Kluyveromyces lactis: one gene and its partner. The protein of the gene in region 1 interacts with the protein of each later gene in a pairwise test. Links are inferred from orthologs where the notes say so. Each region holds a gene or a part of one and is shown in the gene's direction. Other genes may lie near its edges.

Evidence for each region. The genes of interacting proteins can lie anywhere in the genome.
Region 2: the proteins of NAM7 (region 1) and UPF3 interact in a two-hybrid assay, tested with the Saccharomyces cerevisiae proteins (2 studies listed by BioGRID, with this or other methods). The link is inferred for Kluyveromyces lactis from reciprocal best matches to the Saccharomyces cerevisiae genes NAM7 and UPF3.

Annotation. Positions count from the first base shown.
Region 1 is NC_006038.1:566,438-570,777, forward strand, and holds the start of NAM7 (ATP-dependent RNA helicase NAM7), read left to right. Parts: upstream 1-1,470; coding exon 1,471-4,340. Other genes in the region: MBR1 (Mbr1p), read left to right, coding at 1-987. UniProt on the Saccharomyces cerevisiae protein: RNA-dependent helicase required for nonsense-mediated decay (NMD) of aberrant mRNAs containing premature stop codons and modulates the expression level of normal mRNAs. Also capable of unwinding double-stranded DNA and translocating on single-stranded DNA.
Region 2 is NC_006040.1:317,524-320,590, forward strand, and holds UPF3 (Upf3p), read left to right. Parts: upstream 1-1,201; coding exon 1,202-2,434; downstream 2,435-3,067. Other genes in the region: YNK1 (nucleoside diphosphate kinase), read left to right, coding at 331-789; KLLA0_D03740g (uncharacterized protein), read left to right, coding at 2,676-3,008; KLLA0_D03751g (uncharacterized protein), read right to left, coding at 2,998-3,067. UniProt on the Saccharomyces cerevisiae protein: Involved in nonsense-mediated decay of mRNAs containing premature stop codons.

The DNA of each region.
Region 1 (4,340 bases):
GAACGTCTGGAATCAGATGAAGGAGTAAAGCCTTTAGTGTGCCATTGTGGTTGTCCCAATGAAAGAGGCTCCATATTTGAGAGATCAGTGCAGGACCCCTTTTGCTCTACTTTTTACAATGATGATCAAGAACCACTCGAGATACACAGTCGTGCAGAAGATTCACTGTATGAATTGAATCCATTGCAGGAGGAAACGCTGTACTATAAGATTCCCAGTGATAATGAAGAAGAGTTTCAGGAGGTAGAGCTTGGAGGGAACCCATTCCGTTCGAATATGATGCGTGGAGATACTTCTTTGAAGGGGAAAATTGGATCACCATCAAAGTGTGGTTGTGTGGTATGTTCGAACTGCCACGGGCTAAGGAAACCTAGATCGAAATCGTCCGCTTCTTACAATGGATACAGTTTCTCGCTAGATTCAAACCCAGTCTCAAGGACAAACAGTATAGTCATTCCATTGTCTAAACAACCCACAAGACAGAGCATTGCTTCTTCTGTTGGATGTCTAGATACAAACAATACCATAAATAATAACAGTCTCTCTTTTGGATCCCCAACTAATATCACTGACGAGGGCGCAATAGATCCTAAATCTTCCAATGGATCAAGATCGTCCATTAGCTTATCTACAAATGCCATTCCAACACACTTATACAGCTTGGAGAGATACGTAAGTTCTGAATTGGATTCAGCGACGGAATCCTTCTTTGATAAGTCAAAACAATTGTCAGACGAAGCTTCAACTCATGGAACAGAAGACACCGTCTCTTCATCGTTGGCAAAAATGTCATTACGAACTTCACCTCAAAGTTCAAATAGCACAATTGCCAATCCAAACACCTACACTAATAGAACCATACCAGAAATACCGTCAGGAACTCAATCAATTAACCAATATTCATCTTCACATCCACCACCATTTTTGGACGCAAGAAAAAGAAGAAAGTCTTTCATTGAACAGGCTTTATCAGAGAGTTTCTCATAATAAAATTCACAACCCCAGTCTTCAACCACCCTCAGTTACCCCAATCATAATCATCAGTATACCCTCATGCATCAAATATATAAACGTAATAGGACATAGACTGTCACCTAATCACTATTTAATTACCCGACTTTTGCATGCATTTGCTGATTCTTTTTTTTTTTTTTCAGTTTGTGTACTTCACATCTCATCTCACATCTCATCAGAAAATGCATCAACTTCCATACATAAAAGTATTTAATCATAATATGCTTCAACAGTTATTATTTCCTATATCACTTTATCTGTATTTTCAAGAAGTTCTGTAAATTGAGCATCTATCAATGTGCTGAGTAACATATTTTGATTTGTGACTCTGACTCATTTCTTGCGAACTTTTTTTTTTGGTTAGTTCGATCTATTCTGTTCAAAGCTATTCTTTGAAGTAGATTGTACACGACTGGTGCCTTTATTATCTCAGTACAATTAGAATCAAGTTTCCTTATGACGATGCGTTTGCCAAATGAACCGTTTGATTCAGATTCGGACTCAAACGAATCTGTTTCTTTGAGAGACGATGACGACAAAAACTTTTTCTACGATACTGATGAGATGCTGGACGAGGAATACTCTGAGTTCCACGGCACTGCTGCTAATACAGATCCTATTGCGGAACATGCTTGTGCATATTGTGGTATTGATAATACTTCATGTGTTGTCAAGTGTAACATTTGCAGCAAATGGTTTTGTAATTCGAAAAATGGTACTAATAGTTCCCATATTGTGAACCATTTAGTTTTATCCCATCATTCTTCAGTTTCATTACATCCAGACTCAGAGCTAGGAGATACTACTTTGGAATGCTACAATTGTGGACGTACTAATGTGTTTGTTCTTGGTTTTGTTCCGGCTAAGAGTGAGGCTGTTGTGGTCTTGTTGTGCAGATTGCCTTGTGCTAAAATGAAGAATGTTAATTGGGATACAGATAACTGGCAACCACTTATTGAAGAAAGGAAGATGCTATCTTGGGTGGCAGAAGAACCAAGTGAAGAAGATCAGTTGAAGGCCAGGATGATTACTCCATCTCAAATTACGAAATTGGAAGCAAGATGGAAATCAAACAAAAACGCTACAATTATGGATATTGATATGGTCGAACAAGATGAAGATATTCCTCCGACTTTGATGAGATACACTGATGCTTATCAGTACCAAAGATCATTTGGTCCTTTGATTCAGTTAGAAGCAGATTATGATAAGCAATTAAAGGAATCACAGGCCTTAGAACACATCTCTGTCACATGGGATTTAGCATTGAACAACAGACATCTAGCTACTTTTGCATTATCCACATTCGAATCTAACGAATTAAAAGTTGCCGTTGGTGATGAGATGATTTTAAAGTATAGTGGTCCACAACATGCAGATTGGACAGGAAAAGGTTTCATCATCCAGCTACCAAACAGTTTCAAAGATGAATTTACTCTTGAATTGAAACCAAGTCAAAAAACTCCACCAACTAATTGTACTACAGGATTTACAGCAGTTTTTGTATGGAGGGGAACTTCTTATATTAGAATGCAAGAAGCGTTAAGAAAATTTGCTGTCACCAAAAAATCATTATCAGGGTTCTTGTATTATAAGATATTGGGCCAAGAGGTTCCAGATGTGGAATTTGATGTAGAATTACCCAAAAGCATTTTTGTGCCTCACTTCACCGAGTTAAACCAATCTCAAAGTAATGCTGTGAAGCATGTTTTACAAAGACCTTTATCATTGATCCAGGGACCTCCTGGTACCGGTAAAACCGTCACTTCAGCTACCATTGTTTATCATTTGTCTAAAATCCACAAACAGCGTGTTTTAGTTTGTGCACCATCTAACGTTGCAGTGGATCATCTTGCTGCCAAGTTGCACAGTATGGGTTTAAAGGTAGTACGATTAACTGCTAAAAGTAGAGAAGATGTGGAGAGCTCAGTGTCCGAGTTAGCATTGCATAACTTGGTCAGCAGGTCTGCAGAAGGTAAACTCAAAAAACTTCTCAATCTTAAGGAAAAAACAGGGGAACTTTCCTCATCGGATACCACGAAATTTGTGAAGTTAGTGAGAAAATCAGAAGCTACCATCATTCAAAAAGCTGATGTTATTTGCTGTACTTGCGTCGGCGCTGGTGATAAAAGATTGGACTATAAGTTCCGCACAGTATTGATCGATGAAAGTACTCAAGCGTCAGAACCTGAATGTTTGATCCCTATCGTCAAGGGAGCCAAACAAGTTGTTCTAGTTGGTGATCATCAGCAACTTGGTCCTGTCATTTTAGATAGAAAAGCTGGTGACGCTGGTTTGAAACAATCTTTGTTTGAAAGATTAATTTCCTTGGGTCACATTCCTATTAGATTGGAAGTCCAATATAGAATGAATCCACAATTAAGCGAATTCCCAAGCAACATGTTCTACGAAGGTAGTTTACAGAATGGTGTCACCATCGAGCAACGTACTATTGCAAGATCTACCTTTCCATGGCCAATTCATACTATCCCTATGATGTTTTGGGCTAACTATGGTCGTGAAGAGATCTCAGGCAATGGTACTTCCTACTTGAACAGAATTGAAGCCATGAACTGTGAAAAGATCATTACAAGACTATTCAAAGATGGTGTCAAACCAGAACAGATTGGTGTTATAACTCCTTATGAGGGGCAGAGAGCATATGTTGTACAATATATGCAAATGAATGGTTCGATGGAAAAATCATTGTACATGGGCGTTGAAGTGGCATCAGTAGATGCTTTCCAAGGTAGAGAAAAAGACTATATTATTTTGTCTTGTGTCCGTGCCAATGAGAGAAACACCATTGGTTTCTTGAGTGACCCACGTCGTCTAAATGTTGCGTTGACTCGTGCTAAATACGGTCTAATAATATTGGGTAACCCAAGGGCACTATCTCGCAATAGCTTATGGAGTCATCTACTACTTCATTTCAGAGAAAAGGGTTGTCTTGTTGAAGGGTTTTTGGATAATTTACAACTCTGCACAGTCCAATTGACGAAACCTTCTAGGGCACCCAGGAAAGCCCCATCCAACAACAGTAGTTATACACAATATGCTGGTCAGAGAGACTTTGACACTCAAAGTTTGGTCTCATTCGGTGGCCAAAACGTCGTTGAAAAATCTTTTATTCCAAACACGGACTTGTCTTCGTTATTGAACCAACAATATTGGAATGGACAGTCTTTTGATACACAATCGCGCTTAAGTGCTACGCATCCTGTTAACCAATACGATAAAGACGCGGTCAATTTTGATGGAAGTTTATCCAATGGCTTAAGGAAGTACAATGGAGTGGGCTCAAAGTATCAAACCATTGATGAAGA
Region 2 (3,067 bases), on another chromosome or scaffold:
TTGTGTATGATGAACCATACTTTTACAGCTTCCTCAGTAAGAAGCCCCAAACATCAACTAATCAAAGTCACGTGCCGGAAAAATTTTCTCTCATTTTCGATTTTCCCCGGCATTTCTTCGTCTGCACCAATCTCATCGAGCATGAATCGGATCCTCATTCGTTGGCTCTCTCGAGAAATATTTCAATTTCGTTGATTTCAATTTGCAGTAACTTTCTTCTTTCCATGCACTTTATTTCAACTTCTGGGGTTAGCGATTGCTTATGTTCCATTGATTCTTAGTTCATAGCAGGATCGTACACAGAATCACGTATTAACTAACTCGAGAAAAATGTCTAACACTGAAAGAACTTTCATTGCTATCAAGCCAGATGGTGTTCAAAGAGGTTTGATCTCTAAGATCTTAGCTCGTTTTGAAGACAGAGGTTACAAATTGGTTGGTATTAAGTTGGTTACTCCAACCGAAGCTTTGTTGAAGGAGCACTACGCTGACTTGGTTTCCAAGCCATTCTTCCCATCTCTATTGTCTTACATGACTTCTGGTCCAGTTTTAGCTACTGTCTGGGAAGGTAAGGATGTTGTTAAGCAAGGTCGTGCTATCTTGGGTGCTACCAACCCATTGCAATCTGCTCCAGGTACCATCAGAGGTGACTTTGCCATTGAAGTTGGTAGAAATGTCTGTCACGGTTCTGACTCTGTTGAATCTGCTGAAAAGGAAATCGGCTTGTGGTTCAAGAAGGAAGAACTTATTGACTACAAGTTGAACCAATTGTCTTGGATCTACGAATAAATGTAACGTTGACAAATTGTTCACTTTATCAATACATATTCTTTCCCACAATTATTCCATATTTAAAGATGTCTTTTCTTATATGATGTGTATCTGTGTGTCGGTATTTATTACTATGTAGATATATCTCAAATACACACATTTTGAAATCCATTAAGCTTTATACTGCGATGTTGTATTCATATTTGTAACCCCGACTTGCGTTGGGTATATTCACGTTTCTACCAGCTTACTGATACGATTACGGTTCAATTTGCATTTATGTTTGTCATAGTATTATTTTACTTAATTGCACTAAAAAATTTCAGTTAGCACATCTGTTCTTCATCACAAATGCATCCCTAACGAAAACATGAGCTGTTATCACAATACCTCAGACAAGATCCTTCAGTAAAACTGCGTTCTTTCACGAATGCTCTCTAAGAAAAGAAATAGAAGGAGGTACCGGAAGAGGAGTGCTGACTCTTCCCGTGAATTCAAATTATGTATTCGATCTTTACCACCAAATTTAACAGAAGAGCAATTCATCAGCACTTTACAAGAGAACAACATCGATGTGCATTCATTTCAAAAATCATTCTACTACGTGCAAGGTCATTACTCCAGCAAGGTGTTCAAGAAACAGACTTTGTCTAGGGCATATATCCAATTGGACTCCTTCGAAACCATTCAATCGTTGTCAAAAACAATAAGAACATGCAGATTCATAGATGATTTGGATAACTCGATGATTCCAGATTTACAAATCTCGCCGTTCGTTAAGAAGTGGGTCAGTCCCAACGAGGTTAATCCTATTCAAGGCACGATTCAAAAGGACCATGTCTTTCAAACCTTTGTCAAATCATGGAAATTGATTAATGAAGATGAAACCAACTCATTACAGTTCAAGAATTTAAGTGTTATTGCACCTTTAAGAAAGGAATTAGAACGTGAAGAAAAAATGGAAGAAGAGTTAAACGGACGTAAGCAAAGAGCACTAATAGAATTGGCTGGTGATCCAACAAGCGAAGAAAAGAAGAAGAGGATCAAAAAGATTAAGAAAAAGTTAAGACTATTAGAGAAGAAGAGGAAGCTGAAACGTGCTAAGGCAAAGAACAAGGATAATCCGGACGAGAAAGATGTTTCTAAGGATAAATCAGAAGTTGAGAAGCCCAAAAAGTCTAAATCCAAACACAAATCCAAATCCAAATCTAAACCTAAATCGAAATCTGAACCGAAATCATCGAAATTTGACACTGCGACAACTGAGAAGAGTGCGGTAACATCCGAAGAAAAGCCAAAGAAGAAGATTTTGTTGAAACCAAAGAAAGATGATGTTCCCAAACCAGAGATGCCTGCAGATTCGGAGGTAACGAAGAGAGCAAGACGTAAAAAATCAAAGAAACATAAAGACAAAGACAAGGATGTAAAGAAGGATTTAACAAGCAAAGAAACAAAGGAAACTCCCTCTAAAGTTACTCCTAAGGTAAAAATAAAGTCTAAATCTGCCAATGTGGAGGAAATGAAATCGGAGAAGCGTAAGCAGGAAAACACTAAGCCAGAAAAAAATCCATCAAGTGAATCAGATAAGAAAGCTAAATCAAAGAGAAAAAGTAGAAAAGGAAGGCAGTCTGATGGACCTAAACACAAAGACAAACCAACTTAATATGCAGACATCGCACCAATGGATGGCATCTCGATATTTTGGCTTAGTTCTCTTTTACGTGCCCTTTCATTTATTCAAATGTGCAGAATATTATTTCTGATCTCTGACACTTGATATTTAAAGGGAGTGTGACAGGACTTTTTAATATTAGCAGCTTTGTGGACTAACAACAAATTCATTTTGCAAACTCAACTAAGGATTATTACACACGCATATCACTCGCCATAATTTTCATCGATCGATGGTGAATATTAGAACTACAGAATTAGAAGGAGATTTAGCACAGTTGACCTATGAACTTGGGTTGAAGGATAAGGAAGTCATGACTTTAAAGCAAAGTCTGGAACGCCTCAATGCTGAAGTCGAGAAGCTAAGAAACGAGAACAGAGGCTTGAAAAGCGAATTGGAACATTGGAATAAACTACCGATGAGTCCAATATCTTTGTCTTCAGAAAACGATCAAACTGAGGACGATAAAAACCGAATGATTCAAGAGAATTTGCGGAGAGAGATTCTTTCCTTGAAGAATGAAAGTAATATTTTATCAGAATGGATCAAGACCCTTATTTCTTGAATTTCTTCAAATAAATATTCTGAGCCGTACCCAGAATTGCGTATGCCAAACTAAAAAAT